7 separate regions of the Mus musculus genome follow, and regions 2, 3, 4, 5, 6 and 7 are each reported to be linked to region 1. Evidence: microRNA targets listed by miRTarBase, many of them from high-throughput screens and not tested one by one. Region 1 holds a microRNA gene; each other region holds the end of a gene's coding sequence.

Region 1 (3,081 bases):
TGCTGACGTACGGTGCTTAATGAGAAGTTGCCCGCGTGTTTTTCGCTTTATATGTGACGAAACATTCGCGGTGCACTTCTTTTTCAGCATCCTATTCTACGTTGAAGACTTCGGGGGTTCAACTACTTACTGACTTCAGGGAAGCCATGTTAGTCTAGGAAAGTAGTCTATGTAGTGAGCCTGGGTTGTGTGAGTTTATCTCCCTTCTTGAATGGTCCTCTGACCTTTCTTAATGAGAATGGGTTTGGGTTGGTTGGCTCCTGCTCCCTCCTCCCTCCTCCACAACACAGTGTCAAAGGAACCAGTTGACCAGACATTATTGATTCCTAGATGAGACCTTAGCCCACAGGGAGATGTTTGCTGAGACTTCTGGGAGGGGAATGAGTCTTCATTTCTGTGAGAGATGTCTGAGTGGATCTCACTGTTCCCTGAGTTTGAAGGCCAGCTAGAATTCAAGAGGACAGTACCCAGGGCTGTTTAGACAGAGGGGGAAGTGCCTGTCCCAGAGGAACCATGGGACATTTGAGTAACAGTACAATCTGGGACCTGCATCCGACACTCCTTGAAGCTCAACACGTCACTGTACCTTTAAGTTATATTAGCCTGGATGCCTCCTTTGTGTGTAAGTCAGCTTGAGGTGGGCCTTTCCTTACTATGAGAGGAATGGATGGCTCCTTGTTGAGTGGCCTGTCAATGAGTGTAACTGGCATTCTTTGGATGGTATGTTCTCTTGCTCATTATTCCCATTGTCCAGTCTAAGGTAGGTAGTTGGTACCAAGTCACTTTCCTTTGTGGTTCAGATATATTGCTGTAGTGTTGTAACCTTCCAGTAACGGTAACACACACTAATCAATGCGTTTTGTTTTCAGGGAAGGGTCGGTCATATGTCCCGTTCAGGACAGCCGCAAGATGATGAACGGACATTGCATCCCCAGACATCTCACACGCTCAGAATCCTGGAGCCTCCCATTTCAACCTGTTCTTCTGCTTCCCAGTACCCTGTGAGCTCTTTGTTGTATTTGTCTACATCGTAAGTCACTTCTGGGTGCGGGAGAGGGGGGACCTCAGAGGGCATCATCCAGGCACTCACACAGCTGGTTTAGGCTGCCCTGGATTTTGCCACCTAGTTCTTTGACTTTTTTTTTTTTTCTCAGCTTCAGAAGAGGATCCTGGAACTGAGAGAGGAGATTCTGTCTTGGAGTTTGGCACCATCCCATTTCCCCCGAGTGACACTTCAGAATGACTGGCAAGGATGGTAGGCAACATCTCAGAATCTTCAGTCTTCGTCCCAGGTCTTCCTGAGATCCTGAGGTAGAGGGGGTTTGGGCTGGATTGCTATGGCAGTGATGAGTACTGAGCCACTCCCCTTGCCTCAGGACCCCCATCCCTGTCCCCCTCCCGGCCAAGTATCTGCCTCACCCACCATCCCTTCCTTCCGCCTGTCCCTCAGCATCCCTTCACACTCAGGCACACTGCTGGAACAAGCAAGAGCTCAGCCGTGGTACCTGAAAAGAAGTTGCCCATGTTATTTTTCGCTTTTATTTGTGACGAAACAAACATGGTGCACTTCTTTTTCGATATCAAATCTCACCTTGGAGAGCTCCCCATGGACCAGAGGGAGGACGGGAGGCCAGGGGGTTTGGGTCACCATGTGCACAGGGGCATTTACCTCAAAGAAGCACAATTTCACCTGCCCCTCTTGGCTCTGTGCATTGTTAGGTCCAGAATGCCCACCTCCTGGGACAGGCACAGTCAGTAAGGGAAACCAGGAAGCGCACTTTTAGGCTCTGTTGTAGGATGGAGTTCAGATAAGAGAAGCCCAGAAAATTATAAAATCCAAACAATAGCAATTTAATCAAACAGCCAATACAAGCCAAACCACCAATTCCTTCTGGAGACATGTGTCTAGATGTCAGCTGCAGGTGTCTTTACCAAGATATGTCAGTTGGTGAGTGTCACATAACACTATGACTCTAGAAAAGCCTGGGCCCCAGATCAGCTCTTTACCAGCATCCTGCCATGTCTACGGGCTGTGCTCTTTGATGCCATTAGCAAGGCCTTGAGGACTGGTGGGTGCTGGCTACGATTGGGACCAGGGAACAGCAAGCTGTCATCAGCCACTGCTGCCTGTCTCTTATCTCTGATACTGGTACCCCTGCCCTCTGGAGTGGTAGATGTAAGGCGGCACTTCAGACCCCTTTTCCCTAGTGAACTTCTCTTTATGGCTAACATTCTCTGGTAGCCTCCTCATGGCATCAAAATTGCCTTTGAGTGTGGTTGTTTGAGCAGGGCCCTTTGGTGGCTCTCTTGTGAGAGTGGGAGGGAGGATACAATCCAGAGAGTATGAGAACACCTCATCCATCCATCTCCCCTGGAGGGTTTCCGAAGCTGAGCCAGTACAAGATATGGGATCACTCTTAGGCAACCCTTTGCTAGGATACTAGCTATTTCTTTCTTTGCTCAAGTTGGAATAAAAGCTTTGTTTATACTTACGTGGCTCAACAACCATAGCGCATCAAAACCCAGTGCAAACTCCATCTAAGAGGTACCAGGATTAGCCACACACTTAGCTCTTAGTTTCTACTGGCTCAGTGATGCCCTTGGGCTGTGGCTGTACCTGTGTTTTGGCTTCTGCCTATAAAAGATGGAAACACCTTTGGAAAAGCAGCAACTCTCCCTTTATACCCATGGAGAAAGGCTAAGGGGCATGGAACAAGCATGGTCAACCCATTTTCTTAGGTTGAAAATCCCTTTCCATCTAGTGGGTACTGGCCTCGGTGCTGGTGGAGCAGTGAGCACGCCATACATTATATCTGTGACACCTGCCACCCAGCCCAAGGCCCCTAGGCCCACAAACTTCTGGAGGGGAGTTTGTCTTGGATTCATCCAAGGAATGCAAAGGACACCTGGACAGAAATGCCTCTGGTGGTCATCCCAAGGTAACCGGACTTGTTCAGTTCCATTTCACATTTAGCTTTGTGCTTTATTGGCAGGCTTCTAAGGGCTGCTATTCACCCCTACATCCCAGGTACGTATAGGCCCAGAGGGAGCCTTCCATCTTTGAGGGTAGAATATTCTCTG
Region 2 (3,081 bases), not on the chromosome of region 1:
ATAAAAACTTAGAGCAGCTCTATCCCTTCTGGGGAAGTGATTCTCAGTTAGTAGAATGCAAGCTTGAGGGTCTGAGTTCAGATGACCCATATAAAAAGCTGGGTAAAGACACTTGGGGCAGACACTTTCTTTTCAGCAGCAAATATTCCCTAGAGAGTGTAGATAATAGCTTTGGCCTTGCTGACGAGAACACTGGCGTGGGGTAGGTTGGATGGAGTGAGTGGTGCGGTCATTGCATTGCTGGGGACCTTCATGTGACTCCGCTGATAGTTGCCTCTGGTGTAGGCTAAGCTGCCTTCGTATCATCTGTCCAAAAACCAGCTGTTTTCTCTCTCGTCTTTACTGTTGTTTCTGTTCCCACAGAATTCATTAGGATGCACTGTACCTCAAACCCTGATTGGTGGATGCCCTCGGAGGAGCAGATAAACAAAGTGTTCAGCGATGCTGTAGGTCATGCCCGACAGGGGCGGGCCGTGGGGACTTTCCTGCACAACGGTGGCTCGTTTTATGAAGGGATGGATCACCAGGCTTCCCAGGATGAGGTCTTCAGCAAGACACAGGACGGATCTGGGGACTAGTGGACACAATCGTCCCAGTGCTGTGTGGTTTCTTGTGTAAGAGCTCCAGTTGTGAATGTCCATTCCCATGTCACTTAGAGTCCAAAGCATGTAATTCCGTCACACTTTACACATTCTCGGACTTAAAACTCTTGACCCACTGCCACAGTTCCCAAACAGGAATCCACTTTAGGATTTTCGGGGGGGAAATCTCTAGCACCTGCAGTAGATTTGGGGTGTGTTATATCACAGAGGAAAATGTACATTTGGCATGAAGTCATTTCTAGCTAGGCATTGAGGGTGTCTCCAGTCCCAGATCTTCAGGGAAGCCTGGCCCCCTGAGCAGAGCTGGTCTCCAGGGAAGGCTCAGTTAGTGTTCCTGCACATGGGCGAAGGGAAGACGAGCAACTGTAACAAGTAAGCTGTCTTCGATTTCCTAAGACTTCATTTCAGAGTTCCCAGCAAAGACACAAGCTAGGTGACACTGTAAGCCTCCATCCGTTTTAAACGCTGACGGGAAGAATCCAGAACAGAGGCCATGTCTATAGAGAGCGCGTAGGTGTGGACGTCGGCTACTTTTTCTGTTACCTTACAGACAGAACTCACTGTGTCCATCAGAAGGGCAACCTCCTCGCTGTGGTTGACAAGCAGGAGATTCTCTTTATATCTTTAGGAAACATCCAAAGATTGAAAACCATTTTCCAATGCCTCGTTTCATAAGTTCCTAACGCACAGCTTCCGTAGCCTTAAGTCATACTTCGTTGACACAGTGCCGGGGTGGTGGGTTCAGCGAGAACTCCCACAAGCTGGCTGTTGAGTAAGATCAAACGCAGGGCATGAACGACGGCATCTGCTGTTGATCAGGGGTCTGGTATTGTAGACGTGGAGCGTCAAGGCCGTTCTGACAACTATGCAATGGCTGGTGGGTGATTTCTCTGAAATTTGAGGCCTTTGCTGGGCTGAGTGAAGGTTTAGCATATATAAAACTTCTGTTTCCCATTGTCATGGATGAAAACGCCCCATCCAGCTGTGCACATCCTCCTCGGTCTAAGCTCTGAGTTACCCTTCTGCTTCCCTGCTTAATTTGTGGAATCCGTATGTGAGGTTAGTGATGCCCTGGGAACCACTTCCTAGTAAAGGCTACAGAGGTGCTATAATTGTTACTGATGGAGATTACGCTTTGGACCTGCGGAGAACACTGGCTTTATTAAACAAATCAAGATTACTATGTTCTTTGTGGAACCAAAAGCTAAATGGGCAGCGTTTGTGAAAATTATGAGTGTCATCTACAAACACAGCAAAGAGCTTTGAAAATGGGGTAGAAATTCAGACTGTGAGTATCCGTTTAGAAAGGACTTTTGGGGAGGCCAGTTTTGTCAGAATAATCACGCATCCTTTAGATTCAATATTTAGCAAATATTGAACAAATCAGCTGAACAGTTTAGAAGTAAAAGAAATTAAATGGGTAAATGAGCTGTCATTTACAGTGGACCCAAGACCAGTGTCTTTGGCTGTCCAAGAGAAAGGGTTGTTTGTTTGTTTGTTTGTTTTTTCCTAACTATAAAAACTGTCTCCGGATAACATCCAGGATAGCATTAATGTTGATAGCTTCTTGCTGGTCTGGGGCACTCACTATCATCTTGTTAAAATCCTCATCTGTAGCACCGAAGACTTCTCATACTGCTGTTTATCTGCTCTGCTGAGTCCCGTTCCTCTCTTTGGTGGTTTATTTAGTCAGTAAGCTTGGACAAGCTTCCCTTGGTTGTCTTGTAGTCTTTAAATGATCCATCGAGTTTTCTCTTCCACGAGTTTGCAACTTTTACATTAAGTTTGGGAAGTTAGCAGGAGCTAGCCTCAGGGCCTTAGAGCCTTAGCATAAGGAATCAGACAGTCCCCATGGAGAGGCCTGAGTTCCTCCTCCACCTCTTTAAAGGCTCTGATCTCAACACCAACTCTGGGTAGCATCATGCCCTGGGACAAGCCTTTGTCAATGCAGCTTCTAATTGTCATCTCTGCATAGGCGGACATTAGCTTTAGTTGACTAAGAGCCTGTATCACCTTCACTATCAAATGTAGCTTTAAGGAAGGGGGTATCTAAATCATTTGTGGGTACACCTACACCAAGGGTTCTTGCCACTTGCTTCAGATGTGCAGAGGGCACCCGCTGCTTCCTGTACTGTATTGCAAGGTCTGGATGATAATAATAAGAAGTGCAGTGGACTACTGATGAGCTGTTGTCAATTACATCTGGAGCATTCGTTCAATATGATGTTGAAAGGGGTGTTTCTTGTGTGTGATCCAAGGTCTGGGAAGTCTGGCCTAGGAAATCTCCAGTGTCGGGAACCTAGCTGTTGTGCATATGTGGAAACTAAGGACTACAATGCTGACCTCCGCCGTAGCAGTTCTCACATGTAATTACATGAGGGCCTAGAATTAGCCTAGTCAAGTGTCCCTTTTTTCTGCCTGCTTATGTGATTGCTGTTTTCTTCAGCTTAGTTTACCACCTGATACCAGCAGTCAAACA
Region 3 (3,074 bases), not on the chromosome of region 1:
TCTGTGTATCCCTGGCTGTCCTGGAACTCACTTTGTAGACCAGGCTGGCCTCAAACTCAAGAGATCAGCCTGCCTCTGCCTCCCGTGTGCTGGGATTAAAGGCATGTGCCAACACTGCCCAGCCAGCACTTTTATTTTAAAGATGGGATCTCGTATTTAGCTCAGGCTGGTCTTGAGTTCCTGCCCCACCCCACCCCCCGCAGTGGCCTGAATGCTATGATTATAAGTGTTTCTGACTATTTGTCCATCCTGGTCTCTATGTTAACCATCCAATCCCATCCTGGTCTCTATCTTAACCATCCAATCCCGTCAGGATGGAGACTTTTCCCTTTGCCATTTCTCCTCAGATCTTAAGAGTTATTTTCTGAAAAGGGTTGGGCACTTCTTCCCACCCCCTTCTAACAAGACAGGTACAACCAGAGCTGGGTACCCTCTCCACCCTCCACCTACCTTCTAACACGACAGGAGACAACACAACCAACAGTTAAACTTTTATATTTACAATATTCTCTTCATCTTTTGCCAGGTTTAAAAATGTGTACAGAGCCGCAAAGGGTTGGGGTGGGGGCATGGGATTATTTGGAAAGGGGCCGGGCATTGGAGTCCGTGGCTGTATCGTGGGGTCCCCCAGCCCCTCTCTCACACCCCAGCTCTGGGGCATCTGCTTACAGGGCTCAGGGCCCAGGTTGATAGCTTTTGGAAGGCATGGCTGTTCCAAGAGTTGCTAGACCAGGCAGGGGAAAGGGCCAGAAAAGAACTACATTTCCATGGGGGATGGAGAAAGGACAGGGGCTCAAGACCAAGGATTCTGGACCTGGGTGTCAGTGGAAGACAGCACCCCACTCCTATACAAGTTTGGCACTAACATCCCTCAGAAAGCCAAACAATACATGAAGATTCAGCCACACCTCCACTGGTGTCCCTTAAAACCCTTCCTGACAGCGTTCTTTTCCCCAAGAGGTCCAAATCCAAAGACCTCTAGGCAGCTGCTCCCCATATTTCCTTTCAAAATCTTCCTGCTGGTGTCTGCCCTGTCCCCCACAGCCCCTCCATCTGCTCCTTGGTACGGCTGACCTCATTCTCTTCCCCAGCCTGTCCATGTAACCTTTTTCCCTGACTCCTCCCTTCCCCCTCTCCTCAGCTTTCTTTCTTCTTCTTCAACTCAACCAACCAGGGAGGGGAGACAGGTTAAAGAAGGTAAAGAGAGAAGGCTGGTCTGACCCTGAGATGGGGAGAGAGCATCAAAGAAGGAGCCAGTGATGGAGAAAGAGGAACCAAGGCAGAGAAGGAGAAATGACATGGGGGTGAGACACAAGTGGGAGGGTTGCGGGGGACCACCTTAGCTGCCACCTGCTCCTGGCGTTTCCCTTCCCTGGACTAGAACGTAGGGGATCCTTGGCACATTTTGAGAGTCTCCCAACCCATCTACCCAGTTTGGCACGGATGAGCAATGATCTCAAGGACTGAGGAAAAGGCTGTCCTCAGGCCCCCTTGAGGGCTTAGGTTAAACATGCATGGCCTCTTGTGTGACATGTGCCATGCCCCCCATCCTCCCACCTCGGCGTCTCCCTCCAAGTCTCTACTTCCCACGTGGCTTCTGTCCATTAGAAGTCTGCTCCCACCTGCTATGCAAGGAGGAAGTGTGCGCTGGACCTGAGGTGTGGGAGAGGGCAGGGGAGTGCTGGGGGGCGCAGGACCCTCTGCCTGGGAAACACACATCCACATGCAAGAACATGTTTCCATTCGATGAAATGCGTCCTGGGCCGTGGGAAGGTAAGTTTCCAGGCAGCGCTGGGATGCACAGAGATTCCCCCTTTCCTCTAGCAGGAAATCTCTGTTGTCTGTGGAAGGTGAGGGCTTCCAGGGAGCACGGGCTTCACCTGCCTTGTGCCATGGGGGAGAAACATGCTATTCAGGGGTGGGTGGGGAGCGGGGTCCAGGGGGCCTGTGATTTCCTAGCTGCTCCCCAGGTACCTCCCTGTATTGTCTGGTGGCCAAGGGTCACCGGATGTGCACACATCACTTCCAGGGTCTCCAGGGAGTTGGACGGGGAGGAGAAGACGAAGGCATGGGATACAAATCCCCGCAGAAATTCTTGGAGGAGGCAAACATGTGTCCAGGGCGGCAAAACAAACAAACAAACAAACAACCCCCCCCCCCGAATAAAACAAAAACAAAAAAAAACCCAACCAACCAACCAAAAACAAAAAAACCAAACAAACCTCACCCTGCACATGGGAAAACACCCCCCCCCCCTGAGGAAAGCATGTCTTCACATGGGCAAAAGGACTTCCACATTTCCACACACCGAAGACTGGTGTCCCAACGGAGGGCAAAAAATACCCCCCAGGTGTTCGAAGGCCCAGGTCCAGAGGAGATAATGGGGCTCTCTGCATGGGAAAAACTCTCTTCCCAGTGAGGAATCCCATGTCCACCTTAACACTGCTCCACGAAGTCTGACAAATCCACGGGGGCAAAGCCCGGTGCCAAGTCCTCCTCCCTGCCTTCAAGTGGCCTGGGCTGGGAGGGCTAGGGAGGCAGACCTCCCAAAGCCGCCCCCTATACCCGAGTGGTGGAGTGGGGATGGGGTAGCGTGTTGTTGTGGCTGGTAGCAGTAGGGGGTGGGGGTGGGAAGGGCCCAAAGGGATGGAGAGAAGGGGGTGGGGGCGGGGGCGGGGGCCCCAGGCCACTAGGCAGCAGGGTTAGGGCCCCGGGGGCCAAGAGAGGCACATCGTCCGGTGCCCGGCGCAAGGCCAGGGTATAGTCGGGTGGACAGGCAGGGCGCAGGGCCTCAGCAGGGTCCGCCCCAACACCACCACCCCGCTTCAGCTGCAGCGATACTAGCTCCTCCTCCGGGGGTAGCTCACGGCCAGCAGTGGGAAGCAGGGGGCCCCCACCAGGCACACCTGAGCCTGAGCCTCCTGGTGGGCTAAGCCTCCGGCACCGCAGCTCCTGGCGCCGGTCCCGCTTGTAATAGAGGGCGGCAAAGGCAAGGATGTTGAGGAAGAGGAGGGAGGCACCCACTGCCACAGTCACGCTTAGCTCCGTGGAGTAGTCCCTCGAGTCACCGGGGA
Region 4 (3,081 bases), not on the chromosome of region 1:
ATCTCCAGCTCAGAGGTGCTGGCTGCATGAGAGGCCCAAGTGTCCTTACATCTTGGCCCTCTCCATCCTACTTCTTACCCCATTGTGCAGGTACACTGCTGGCCTTAACCTTGACCTGAACATGTGCTCTCTGTTTGCTAGGTTCTCCCCTATGGGTGTAGATCACATGAGTGGGATTTCTGGTGTCAATGTCCCCGGCAATGCTTCCTCGGGCTGGTGCATCTTCATCTACAACCTTGGGCAAGACGCCGATGAGGGGATCCTCTGGCAGATGTTTGGCCCCTTTGGTGCAGTTACCAATGTGAAAGTGATTCGTGATTTCAACACCAACAAGTGCAAAGGGTTTGGTTTTGTGACCATGACAAACTATGAAGAAGCTGCAATGGCCATAGCAAGTCTGAACGGCTACCGCCTGGGGGACAAAATTTTACAGGTTTCCTTCAAAACCAACAAGTCCCACAAATAACTCGCTCATGCTTTTTTTTTCTTTCCTTCTTTTTTTTTTCCTTTTCTTTTTTCTTTTTTTGTACGGAATAGATAATTAAGAGTGAAGAAGTTGAAACTTTTTTGTTAGTGTACAACTCATTTTGCGCCAATTTTCACAAGTGTTTGTCTTAGTCTAAATGAGAAGTGCAAAGGTTTTTATACTCTGGGATGCAACCGACATGTTCAAATGCTTGAAATCCCACAAATGTTAGACCAATTTTAAGTTTCTTAAGTTATTTCCTTTAAAGTATATATTAAAGTGAAACCGAAGTAGACTGCGCTGACTAACCAGTCACTCTGGACGGTGGTGGGACTGAAGCATGCTTTTACTTCTAAGACTGTCTAACACCTGTTTCATCTGATGTCTCCACAGACTGGATTTAAAACAAAACAAAAAAAATTTTTTTTTAATTTCTTTGTTTTAGTTTTTAACCTAAAGATGTTAGACAGATGGGGAGTGTGTTTTTTCTCAACTGCTTCACTATTTTAAACAATTTCTGCTTTAGGTGACAGGAAATTTGCCCTCCCCAGCAGTCCCACTGCTGCCCCCTGCCCACTCAGTCCCAGCTCTATAGTGTTGGGAGCAGCAGCAGGGCCCATATTCTGGGGCTCCCACAAGGGGAGATGGGAAGAGGTTCCACATGTTGGGCTGAGCCAGGCCCTCCAGAGACACAAAAGGTGTTTTGTAAGCCCAGGCACCAATGAGAACGGACCAAAGAGTTTCAGGGCAGCTCCAGTATATTCCAGAGTCAAACCTGAGCTCCAGGCATGCCTGAAGATGCCCCACTCCTCTGACATCCTGAGCGTCTGTCCACACATTGCATGCATGGTGCCCACACATCAGATACTGTTGTTCATGCAACTTCCCGAGTTTCCAAGACCATTTAACCTAGCTTGAATGCACAACGATTGCTCTGTTTTTAATGACACAGAAACATTTGAGCATTGTATTTTCTCGCATCCCTTCTTGTGAGCACTAGACTTTTTCCAATCTTAGTCAGATTTTGCTTTGAAATTTTGCTTTTGTATGGACACTCAGCAGAAAAGTACTTCTTGCCAGTTATCTATTAACAAAATCCTTTGATTTGTAGTTTTAAGGATTAACCCTCAAAGTTCTCTTCATAACTGCCTTGACGTTTGGGGTTCTGTTCTGTTAATTTTCTTTTGCTTTTTTGTGTTTTTTGTTTGTTTTTACTTTTGCATTTAAGACCATTAAATTTGATTTTGTTTTGCTCGAGTTTTGTTTTGTTTTTTGTTTTACCTTTTCTTTCTTTTTTGGCTAGGGAAGGGCACAGACAGCCCAGCATTCAGGGAGGAGTCTGTCAGACCTTAAACACTTGCCTCAAGTTTAAAAAACATTTCTGGAGCTATGGTATAAGAAATACAGCTATGGATCAATGGTTCTTAACTCAGGAGCTGGTAGGAAAGGTCAAAGGGAAGGGAAGAGCACATGAGGCCTGACCCCTACAGCCCTCAGGACTGTTCTGATGTTTATTAGTATGTGGAGAGAATGAGAACAGGCTAGTGCAGTTACTGGCAGCTCTTCACTTTGATGTAAGCCTGGAGTGTATAACAGCAGGCTAGTATTTAGTTCTTGATATCATGGTATGATAGCATTATTTACACATATCTGTTTAGTTATATATACATATATATATACATATAGCTATTTTGTTTCATTTACTTAAGTGGAAAACTGAGCAAAAAGCACAGCCATCTCTAAAGTAGGTCAGTGTATCAAGAAGCCCATGTACAAATTGAGGCTGCCTGTTCCCTCCCCCGCCTCCTTTTCCTGACTTCCCTGGAGGCTCGTTGCAGTGTTCTCTACCATTGGTGAGGTTGTCTCATGTACTCAGGCTTTGTCCCACCCTAAGTGAGTCAAGTGCTGCTCAGTACCTCATTCCATCCCATAATTCCCAGCCTATAGGGCCTGAAACCCAGAACCAAAGGCTCATATGCCCAGATCTGACCAAAAAAGGAGAGGGGTCCTCTGCTTTGAGGGTGCAGAGTGCACCTCCCCGTGGGACCAAAATGTTGTGATAAAATACGCATTTCTAGTTTCTTAGCCAGCATTCTTCTGAGTGGAGGTGGGATTCTCCTCAGTCGTGTAGCCTTTGTATTCCACACCTGAAAGAGACTGTGTCTTTAAAGGACCTGGTGCTCAGAGCTAGCACCTTAATCACTATACCATCCCTACCACCCAACACCTGTTTACTCCATAGTAACTCTGAGAGGAACTGGGGGAAATGTCACCAGCTTCTGGAGGTCACTTCAAGTTCGACATTTTCTTTCTGTGTGGTCTCCACTGTCTGGGTAGCACTCTAGATAAAAGTCCCAGTGCATTCCTTGATGAGCTTTCTTTGTCAGTGTCTAGAAGAAAGTAGCTTTGAAAAGGCATTCCTGAAAGCAGTTTTCATTCTATGAAAGGACTAGGTCCTGGCCCTGGACGCGTTCATGACAGCTAGTCAGGCTGGGCAGAAATACAGAACCCAGACGTGTGTGTAGCTCAGAGATTAAAGCACTTGCCCAGCATGAGGGCAGCCCTGAGCTCTGTCCCCAGCATTGGAGGAAAAGTCACAACCCAAGAGAAAGGGG
Region 5 (3,069 bases), not on the chromosome of region 1:
ATGACAGAACCCAGATTATGTGACAGCGACCTGTTCAAAGGCAGCTTTCTTTGTGGAGTAAGGGATCAAAGACAACATTATGGAGGGGCAGGGAAGGGAGAATGGAAAGCCTGCCTTCAGTTCTAGCCTCACCCTACAGCTCTCTCAGAGGCCTCAGCCTGCTTCTTCACCTCTCTCTGAGCTCCGGTTTTCTCACCACAAATGTGTGTTTTCACAGTTGCATTTAAAAAAGAAAGAAAGGAAAGCTAGTAAAACAGCAAGTTCAGGGTTGAGAGCACACGTGGGCCAGGCAAAACTGACTGCACTCCTGTGTCCCCTAGCAGAGATGTGCAAAGGAGAGCTCCCATCCCATAAAGCGCCATCTGTTGCTTTAAGGACCCATTATGAGAGTTTCCTGCTCAAGTCTAAGCTAAATGACTGGGGCTGGAGAGATGGCTCAGTGGTTAAGAGCACTGACTGCTGTTGTGGAAGACCCAGGTTCTATTCCCAACATCCACATGGCAGCTCACAACCAGCTGTAACTGCAGCTCCAGGCCATTTGGATACCTGTGGCCTCTCATGACACCTGCACACATATGTACATCTATGTGAGTTGTAAGTAAAATGAATACATAAATAAGATATTTAAATTAATGAATAAAAAGACTCAACCTATTCTTTCTTACCACGCCCATATTGTATTCAAAATAAATGTTTTAAAGCTGTTGGCTGGATTGGGGTTGATCATACAGGGCTGAAAATCCTTTCCTACTTCTTCAGTATTTCAATCCCTCTCATGCAGCCATGAGCAGCCTCAGAGAAGAGATACAGATTCAAGTATAAGATGCTTTCTCACTTGAGCCACTTGAGAAGCAACTTTGGAGGAATGGGTTTGGCAGGCAGGCTTTGAAGACTGGTCCTGAAATCATCATGGCCAGGGGCTGGTGAGATGGCTCAGCGGTTAAGAGCTCTGATTGTTCTTCCAGAGGTCCTGAGTTCAAATCCCAGCAACCACATGGTGGCTCACAACCATCTGTAATGAGATCTGATGTCCTCTTCTGGGGCTGTCTGAAGACAGCTACAGTGTACTTAGATATAATAATAAATAAATCTTTGGGCCAGAGCGAGCAGAGGTCCTCAGTTCAATTCCCAGCAACTATATGAAAGCTCACAACCATCTGTACAGCTACAGTGTACTCATATACATAAAATAATATCTATAAAATACATAAAATACTGATTGGGACAAGCCTTTGAGGGGAACCTATTACAAATGACCCCTCACCAAGGATCCTGAAATACTGGTCTTGATGTGCCATTCAGGAATTCTTCCACTTCCTGTATAGACACAGCCATGAGCCCATTGCAAACTGAGGGACAGTGTATCTTACATCTGTCTGCTTTCACAGAAAATGACACTTGGACATAATTACTCTGTATGGTGTTTTAAGTCACGTCTTGTAGTAATTTCCCAGGTAAACCTTTGCTTTCTGAAAGCAGGCAGCAGAGTCCTTGTTGCATGGAGGATGTCTTCTGGTAAAAGGAAATTAAACTTTTCACCATCAGACATATGGTCATTCCTGCATGAGCACACAGGACACAGCTGGTACACCCCAGTCATGTTAGCTGGGCGTGCCTCAGACCTAGTTGTTAAGGTAGGAGACCACCTGCTTCAGATGCAATTTGCCCTACCAACAGAATGAGAAAATTTTCCATTTATAATACTTAATTCTACTCATCTTAAGTAAGAATAACAATGTATCCATAGATAGAGATTTGAAAAGTCATGTTTGTATATTTCTTAATAGTATCACACCATTTATTCTCTCAGAATATATTAAAAATAAATAAAATCTTCTTTCAATAGATGCTGTTAATATTTTCTCTTTTGTTTTCTGAAAACCACCAGTCTAGAGTTTTAAAAATCACAATGACAAATCTAACCAGTGCTATCTCATATGTAATTGGAAACATTTTTTTCATGACTCACTTTGGAAAGGATATTTCAAAAACTGTATTGAAGAAAAAATGACTCTTTTAATTCTGGGTTTAACATGGCAATATTGCAATTAGTGATCTGACTACCACAGGTAACCATGCATACCAAACTGTAACACAGAGAAACTGCAAAGTGATTCTTAAGAGCAGTCACTACTGCTGAAAGGAAAGAAAGGAGTTCGCGCCTCTGTTACTGGTCACTTATTACTGAATTCCTAGAAATAAACACAAGCCCTTCCAAATGTAATTATATAAACTATTTTGGTTATATGGCAAAGCTCCTATCCTGTTAGATACATACAGAATGGAAGATCTACCTTGATTAAAAAAAAAAAAGTATTTCCTTCAGAAAAAGTATTTCCTTCTCCAGTTTCCTTTAAAACTTTGATTTATTTTCAAGCCTAGGTTAAAAAATCCCGAGACTTTTGTATAATTTCATGGCCACATGAGGTCCCATTACACCCTCCAAACAAACAAACAAGCAAACAAACAAACAAATCCTAACTCCCAAACCAAACAACAGAATGCTGAGCCGAGAAGTCGAGTTTTGTTTTGTTTTTTTTTTAAAAAACACTGGTAAGATGATTTCCACTGTCAATACGTGTCTAAAAGATGTCATTGCTTCTGCTTGTGAGATCCAGTGCAAAGAATTTAAGGAAGGAAATCACTGGCCGCCCTGGGAGGTGGGAGCGCTTGGTAGAGGCAGCGTCCTATGAGGAGAAGGCTGCTACACATCGCTGGGAGACCGAGCTCTCTGAGACAGCGAGGAAGGGATGCACCCACAGCAAATGAGGCAGAGGGCTTTCTGGATCTCTTGGTTTCTGAAAGCGTAAATGACAGGGTTGATGATGGAATTGTAGGTGGCGGGCAGGAGGGTGGCATAGGTATAGATCGAAGGGTAGGTGTAATCGGCGATCAAGGAATAGAGGGTGAAAGGCATCCAGCAGGCAGCAAAGGTCCCTAGGATGAGAGCCAGGGTCGAGACCCCTTTCCGGGTAGTCACATAGTGCGATGTAGCCAGGAAGTGGTGCTGCAGGGCTATCTGATGGGCGTGCCTCATCACAATCTTACAAATCTGGATGTAGAGCTGAA
Region 6 (3,081 bases), not on the chromosome of region 1:
TATAGCCATATGCTAATTCTATCTCACTGCCCCCTTCTTTTTCCAACCTTTCACCTGGACACCCTGGCCTACAGCAAGGGTTATACTGACGTTGTGAGGATCCCTGAAGGAGCAACCCACATAAAAGTCCGACAGTTCAAAGCCAAAGACCAGACTAGATTCACTGCCTACTTAGCCCTGAAGAAGAAAACTGGCGAGTACCTTATCAATGGCAAGTACATGATTTCCACTTCAGAGACCATCATCGACATCAATGGTACCGTCATGAACTACAGTGGATGGAGCCACAGAGATGATTTTTTACATGGGATGGGCTATTCAGCCACAAAAGAAATCCTGATCGTGCAGATCCTTGCCACAGACCCAACTAAAGCGCTAGACGTCCGTTACAGCTTTTTTGTTCCCAAGAAGACCACTCAAAAAGTAAACTCTGTCATCAGCCATGGCAGCAACAAGGTGGGACCACACTCTACACAGCTGCAGTGGGTGACAGGTCCATGGCTGGCCTGCTCCAGGACCTGTGACACAGGCTGGCACACTAGGACCGTGCAGTGCCAGGATGGAAACAGGAAATTAGCTAAAGGATGCCTTCTCTCTCAGAGGCCTTCTGCATTTAAGCAATGTCTGCTGAAGAAATGTTAGCCTGTGGTTTACTCTAATGCACAAAAAAACAACAGGAGGATCATCGCAGATACAGCTGTGGTGAAGACAAGGCCTACCCAAAGCACAGAAAGTCATGCCTTCATGTCATTGTCACCACGAGTCGAATTATGGGCAGAATCTGCTCTCTGCGACCAAAAGGTTTACTCTACTTGGTGTAATGATGGTGACCTTGGAATAAAGAAAACGTGAGGGTCATGGAACATCCCTGGGCCTACACAAAGGAGACACACAATGATGAATGTAGAATCGGGGACATTTGAAGATGGCAGAGAAGTCTTGTCACCTACCTCTTATAGAATGTCTTCAAAGACATCGTGATCATGTTCAGCCATGACACACAGCTTATTTTTACTGTTTGTAAATGCATCCGCCCTTAGTATGTCACTTTATAAACTTGGTCCTATTAATATATACACATGTGTAAATACAATATATATATTTGACCAAAGTAGGTCTGCAGCTATTTCAACTACTATTTTCCAGAAAGAGCTGAAGAAGATTTACTGGAAATTAAGAACTTGCTGCTGTTAAATAAAACTTTGTATATTGTCAGCCTGCAGGAGATAACATTTTAGTCAAAAAAAAAAAAAAAAGAAAAAAAAGAAAAAGAAAAGAAAAAGAAAGAAACCATTTTGACAGCAAGCACCTTCTGTGAAGTTCTAAAAAGGGAAAGGATCTGCGTGTGTCTGGTCATTTAAACACATATTCAGTTCTGTGTACTCTAGAGTTTGACGGTCTGTATATTTTTCAGGCAGCCAAGCCAAGTTATTGTATCATTTGGGTGTAGAAACTGTGTTTTCCTGTGTATATGTGATCAATATCCAAGGGTCTAAAAGTTAGCTTGCTTGTATTGGAATTTAAAACAACAACAACAAAAAGAAATATGTCACTGTGTTTTCAATTTGTATTTTCACAACTGCTTCCTTTTCTATGGCTCCTGGTTCATATCTCACAGTGTGTAGGGATCATAGAGAACACGCAGAGCCGCAAGCTGTCTGTCACATCCAGCTTCCGCAGTAATGGCTCACCTCTGCTCAGCCAGGGTTTAAAATGTGTTTGTGGTTGCTTGTTTGTTTTTCCTGAGGGTGGGAAGATGTATGTTCTGTATTGGCTGGGTCTAACAGTAATATTAAAATCATTTCGTATTTAGCCTCATCTTGAACGAGCAATCGGATCAGTTCAACTAATTCAAGAAACCAAACTAGTTAGCACTTAAAAGACTGTTTCCACACCATAGGCAATTATCTCATAATTTACAAAATATAAGCATATGTCTGCTGTATTAGAGAATTTCTGCTCTCAGAAGGCGTTTGTCTCTACCAGTGAGTATGTAAGTGATGGAATATAAGTGGTTTCAGGAAGTCTTTTACCTGCACAAGAAGGTCGCACACGCTTAATGATAATCATAATCTCCTTTAACTACTCACTGAAAGGCCCCCCTCCGATAATTCAAATAATATGACGTGGTTTTATTCCACTGGCATTTCTTTTTTCTTCGTAAAAATCTGCAAAGTAAATTGTTTTACACAAATTCTATAGTGACCATACCAAATGTGCCTACTGTGAAAGATTTGCATAGAAGGATTTTGAGAAATCCTCTCTGGAATTCCACTAAATGTATGAGAGTTTATTTTTATTATAGGATATTTTAATATAAATAACTATGTAATTGATGACTCCATATCACATTGATTTCAGTGGGACAGAAAAAGAATGCAATCCTACTTAGGTTTGTTTGTTTGTTTGTTTGTTTTAAGAGATTATTTTGTGAAACAGACCAATGCCCTCCCAAACCAGTCATCATCCATTGGCTTCTCACAGCCTGGTCTTTTTACATCAAGAAATGCAGACTATACAGAACTTGTAGCCTATATTGGGTGCAGGTCTCCAAATATAGAGCAGGGAGTTCATTTAGTCAAATTGGTCATAAGACAAAAAATTAAATCTCACGTTGCTTATTTAACTGTACAGAGAGAATAAATAGTATAATGCAACTTTCTCCAATTTCTAAAAACAATATAAGCCAAGTAGTTCCAATTTGACAAAATTCTTATTTTGTTTTTTGTTGTGGTTATATTAAAAAAAATAAATGAAGAGTAAATGTGATTATCTCCTACTCTGCTTCCCTCTATGATCATCATAGTTTTTTTTAATAATATTTTCACTGGGTTACTTTCCCTATAATAATCGAGTTTTATACTTCACACTGAAATCATCCTAAGGAGGGTAAACGGATAAACCACTAATCTATGTCTAGAGGGATTTTCTTTATGTTTTAAAAAGACTATTCCTACATTGACAGGGGAATGTATATAAATCTCCTGAGGAAAGAAACACAGCAAACTGAGAGTCAGAAATCTGAAGTGTCACAGAGGGAAAGAGAAATTGAGTGTGGGAGGAGAAACCGATATTAAATTC
Region 7 (3,081 bases), not on the chromosome of region 1:
GAGTCATTGTTGTGTGTGTGTGTGTTGGCAGGGAGGGTACCACTTTAGCTATAGCAAAAATTGGCCCCTGGAAAATGGACTGTTTTTATCCATCTACCTGCCCCTCCTTGAATGAAAGAGGTTAAAGGTTCTGGTTTTCAAGTTCCAAAGCATCTTTGCCCACTCATTTCTTCCCTTGCCCTACCCACAGGGAGTGTTCCTGTATGGCTTCTGCTCCTGCTGTGTGTCGGCCTTATTATTGTGACCATCCTGCTGCTCCAGACTGCCTTCCCGGGATTTCTCTAACCTCTAGAGCGATGGGAATCAGCCTTGGACAGTGCCGCCTTCCAGAGCAGAATCACTGAGCCCCACGGCTGAAGCTGCATCTGATGAAACTGATGGGTACTGCTTGTCCCTCAGCTCACACTTGGCGGTGGCCTCTCGATCACTCTGGGTCTTGGGAGCTCTTGCCTTCACCTGTGGATCCACTTAAGACATTGTGGTCTGAAGCTCAGGCCACAGTGCCTGCCTCGTTCCCTCAGCCTCCCTCCCAGGGCTCCAGAGCTCAGCTCTTCCTTTTCTAGAAGCATGTGAAGATGCCCAAGAGCCTGGAGACATTGCCATCCTTCCTACAGAAACTGTTTCTCCTCCTCCCCTCCAGCCTTCACACAAGGGCCTTGGCTTTGTTGAGACAGAGCCTGTGCTGGCACTTGCTGTTAGGGTAGGAAGAGGCACAAAGAGGACCCCGGTAGCGGTGATCTGTGGCCTTCTGTGGGTAGCACCAAGCCAGTCAGTCCAGACACATAGTGAGTTCCTGGAGGGTCTACTGCAGCCTGAGGAAAGGGAACCTCAGCTCGTTAGGCAGGAAGAGTTGATATTTAATAAAGAGAGAACAATTGAACCGAGAGCCCAGCAGTCCTCTTGTCAGCTCTTTCCATCTTCAGGAGTGAGTACTCCCAGGTCAGGTAGCCCCACTGAGTGCTGGAAGATGGCTCGGGCATACTGATGTAGTACGCGGTTCATGTAACAGTGTTGCCAGGGCATCAGCCCTTCCAGGAAGCCAATGTGGCCACCCCGAGCTGTGATGAGCAGGGCCACATAGGGAGACTTCTGGGCAGCCTGCAGAGGGAAGGCTAGAAGGGAGTCAGGAGGTCAGAAAGCTGTCCGGGAATGAGAACCCAGGCTCATACCTCAACCCTCATCTATGGCTCAGTAGCTGTGGGATCAGGACCTCGTTGCAGGCACTCACCATGGACTGGGGAGAAGGGGTCATCTGCTGCATTGAGGCAGAGAACAGGGGTGTGGATGGCATCTACCTTGGTTCTTGGGCTTGCGGCTTGGTAATAAGCCGCACAGTCTTTATACCCAAAAGCCACAGATGTGTAGCGCTCATCCAGCTGGCGGATCGTGCGGGCCTGTGTGGTAGAGGCATGGTAGGCTATAATATTAGAACGTAGGAGACCAACACTGGGGTGAGAGGGTGATCGAAAGATACCTTTATCGCAAAGTCTACATCCAACACCTTTTCAATTGGCTTTCGGTTCCTGGAAAAGAATACATCAGGGTTTGTCTGAACTCCTGCACCTAACCCAGAGCTCACAGCTTCTGTCTTCTTACCTCCTCAAGAAAGCCCAGATTGGAATGGACCCAAGCACTGGCAGAGCCTGCCATCTGCTATCCTACCTGGCCACAAGCCGGCAGAGTCCAGCAGTGAGTGGCTGATTGAAGAGCAGTGAGTTGAGTGGGGTCTCCAAGGAGTCAACGGTCTCAAAGGAATCCCAACATGCAGACAATGGTCAGTCCTGCGACCAAGCCTCCAGCCTTCCCAGTCTGTGCCAGATAGTTAAGCACCAGTATCCTGTAAAATTGGATGCAGGGCCATGGAAAGTGTTGGCATGGGAACACTGGGACAGAAGAGGAGAAAAAGACAAGATGAACAAACCCAGGCAACTATTACCCTCCAAAAGAGATGCCCACAGCCAGCAGTGGAGCTTGGGAGTAGCGACGTTTTATGTGCTTCACAACTGTTTCTAGGTCTTCAGTATTGCTGGCACAGTAAGCCCTGTGAGTCTGAGGGCAAAGCGGGTCATTGACTAGGGAGGGAGGCTCTTGCCAGAAGACAGCCAAGCGGAAGGGCTCAGGAAGGGTAGGGGGTTGGTAAGTAGGTAGAGCCCTAGGGCCAGTGGTCTCTAAAGGGAACAGGGACAGGGCCACCACAAAGGAGGAGGGTACTCACCAGCAGCTCTTCCCCTCGGCATCCTCGGTTATTAAATACAACAGCCCTGGGGCAAGATAGGAGTGTGAGCCAAGCCCTCCCAAGAAGACCCTCCCCTTGATAGTCTTCAGAAAGGCCCCTGTCAGAGAGTACCATATCAGGGTCAGATGTACTTTTGCCCTTCCCAAGTTCTGTACCCTGTCCTTACCTATAGCCATCCTTCAGAGCTTGGTTAACTAGGTGTAAGATGTACGGCTCCTGGCTACTGCCGCTGATGCCTGGAAGCAGCAGTACTATGGGCTGGGTGGTAGGGTCCGGGTAGTGAGTGCTGTTAGGCTGCTCGGCCCAGTCTAGAAGGAACTGGCCTCCATCTGGGGTCTGGAGGACTTCACTGGGGTTTAGAGATTGCAACACAAAGATGTTATTAGGAGTTGCACTTCTGCATGTCAAAGCTCTACCCTCTGACTCGCCCACAAGCTCTGCTGTTTGTCATGGGTATCACTTGAAGGCACGCTTCATATAAAACAGCAAGGTGACCAGCTAGATTGGACTATTAACCTTGTGTGGGTGCAAGTAGAGAGCCTTTCCATACATATAGGCTCATGCTTTGGGACAAAGATTACCGTCATATAAAGAGGTGGACCATAGAGACTTGCAGCTTTGTGTTCCTGGTCCTGACCCTTCTTACCTCCGGTAAGGGACCACAGGCTGAGACTGCAGGAGGACTCGGAAGATGGTTTGCAGCCGTCCCTCAAAGCACCACAGTGTCGGGTAGAAAGTCTCCACAGTGACTGGACAGTGTTGTTCCAGGAAGGCCAGAAACTGGGGCCCAGCCACCAGACGAGGCCTCTATAATCATACAACACATTGGCCTCTTTTGTTGTCCT

Evidence for each region. Region 1 holds the annotated microRNA mmu-miR-495-3p (AAACAAACAUGGUGCACUUCUU, at 1,551-1,572, shown strand). A microRNA usually pairs through its seed, bases 2 to 8, with sites in the 3' UTR of a target mRNA and lowers its output. Matches are read on the target gene's strand: a 7mer-m8 pairs with bases 2 to 8, a 7mer-A1 pairs with bases 2 to 7 and ends in A, and an 8mer does both.
Region 2: the mRNA of Bend4 is a reported target of mmu-miR-495-3p. Seed matches in the 3' UTR shown: 7mer-m8 at 2,088-2,094, 7mer-m8 at 2,092-2,098, 7mer-m8 at 2,096-2,102 and 7mer-m8 at 2,100-2,106.
Region 3: miRTarBase lists Nlgn2 as a target of mmu-miR-495-3p. Seed matches in the 3' UTR shown: 7mer-m8 at 2,216-2,222, 7mer-m8 at 2,141-2,147, 7mer-m8 at 2,137-2,143, 7mer-m8 at 2,133-2,139 and 7mer-m8 at 2,129-2,135.
Region 4: miRTarBase lists Elavl1 as a target of mmu-miR-495-3p. Seed matches in the 3' UTR shown: 7mer-A1 at 567-573 and 7mer-m8 at 1,670-1,676.
Region 5: miRTarBase lists Gpr12 as a target of mmu-miR-495-3p. Seed matches in the 3' UTR shown: 7mer-m8 at 2,466-2,472, 7mer-m8 at 2,462-2,468, 7mer-m8 at 2,450-2,456 and 7mer-m8 at 2,446-2,452.
Region 6: the mRNA of Adamts5 is a reported target of mmu-miR-495-3p. Seed matches in the 3' UTR shown: 7mer-m8 at 1,732-1,738, 7mer-m8 at 2,393-2,399, 7mer-m8 at 2,397-2,403, 7mer-m8 at 2,401-2,407, 7mer-m8 at 2,405-2,411 and 7mer-m8 at 2,409-2,415.
Region 7: the mRNA of Preb is a reported target of mmu-miR-495-3p. The part of its 3' UTR that is shown has no 7-base or 8-base seed match.

The regions. Positions count from the first base shown.
Region 1 is chr12:109,717,245-109,720,325 of GRCm38, forward strand. It overlaps Mir495 (microRNA 495), which reads left to right and starts at 1,510; the gene lies at 1,510-1,572. It overlaps Mir543 (microRNA 543), which reads left to right and starts at 14; the gene lies at 14-89. Mir667 (microRNA 667) reads left to right here and starts at 2,762; the gene lies at 2,762-2,853.
Region 2 is chr5:67,395,733-67,398,813 of GRCm38, reverse strand. Bend4 (BEN domain containing 4) reads left to right here. Exons shown (of 5, transcript NM_001164806.1): 5 at 364-3,081. The coding sequence ends at 578. Among named protein-coding and RNA genes, the nearest start is that of Gm33345, 8.2 kb to the left of the region's middle.
Region 3 is chr11:69,822,644-69,825,717 of GRCm38, forward strand. Nlgn2 (neuroligin 2) reads right to left here. Exons shown (of 8, transcript NM_001364137.1): 8 at 480-3,074. The coding sequence ends at 2,560. Among named protein-coding and RNA genes, the nearest start is that of Spem1, 2.0 kb to the left of the region's middle.
Region 4 is chr8:4,286,985-4,290,065 of GRCm38, reverse strand. It overlaps Elavl1 (ELAV (embryonic lethal, abnormal vision)-like 1 (Hu antigen R)), which reads left to right. Exons shown (of 6, transcript NM_010485.3): 6 at 142-3,081. The coding sequence ends at 466. Among named protein-coding and RNA genes, the nearest start is that of Timm44, 13 kb to the right of the region's middle.
Region 5 is chr5:146,580,402-146,583,470 of GRCm38, forward strand. It overlaps Gpr12 (G-protein coupled receptor 12), which reads right to left. Exons shown (of 2, transcript NM_001359056.1): 2 at 1,749-3,069. The coding sequence ends at 2,705. Among named protein-coding and RNA genes, the nearest start is that of Gpr12, 3.3 kb to the right of the region's middle.
Region 6 is chr16:85,860,171-85,863,251 of GRCm38, reverse strand. Adamts5 (a disintegrin-like and metallopeptidase (reprolysin type) with thrombospondin type 1 motif, 5 (aggrecanase-2)) reads left to right here. Exons shown (of 8, transcript NM_011782.2): 8 at 75-3,081. The coding sequence ends at 642. Among named protein-coding and RNA genes, the nearest start is that of Gm46558, 38 kb to the left of the region's middle.
Region 7 is chr5:30,952,847-30,955,927 of GRCm38, reverse strand. It overlaps Preb (prolactin regulatory element binding), which reads left to right. Exons shown (of 9, transcript NM_016703.3): 9 at 191-3,081. The coding sequence ends at 285. It also overlaps the pseudogene Abhd1. Among named protein-coding and RNA genes, the nearest start is that of Preb, 5.9 kb to the left of the region's middle.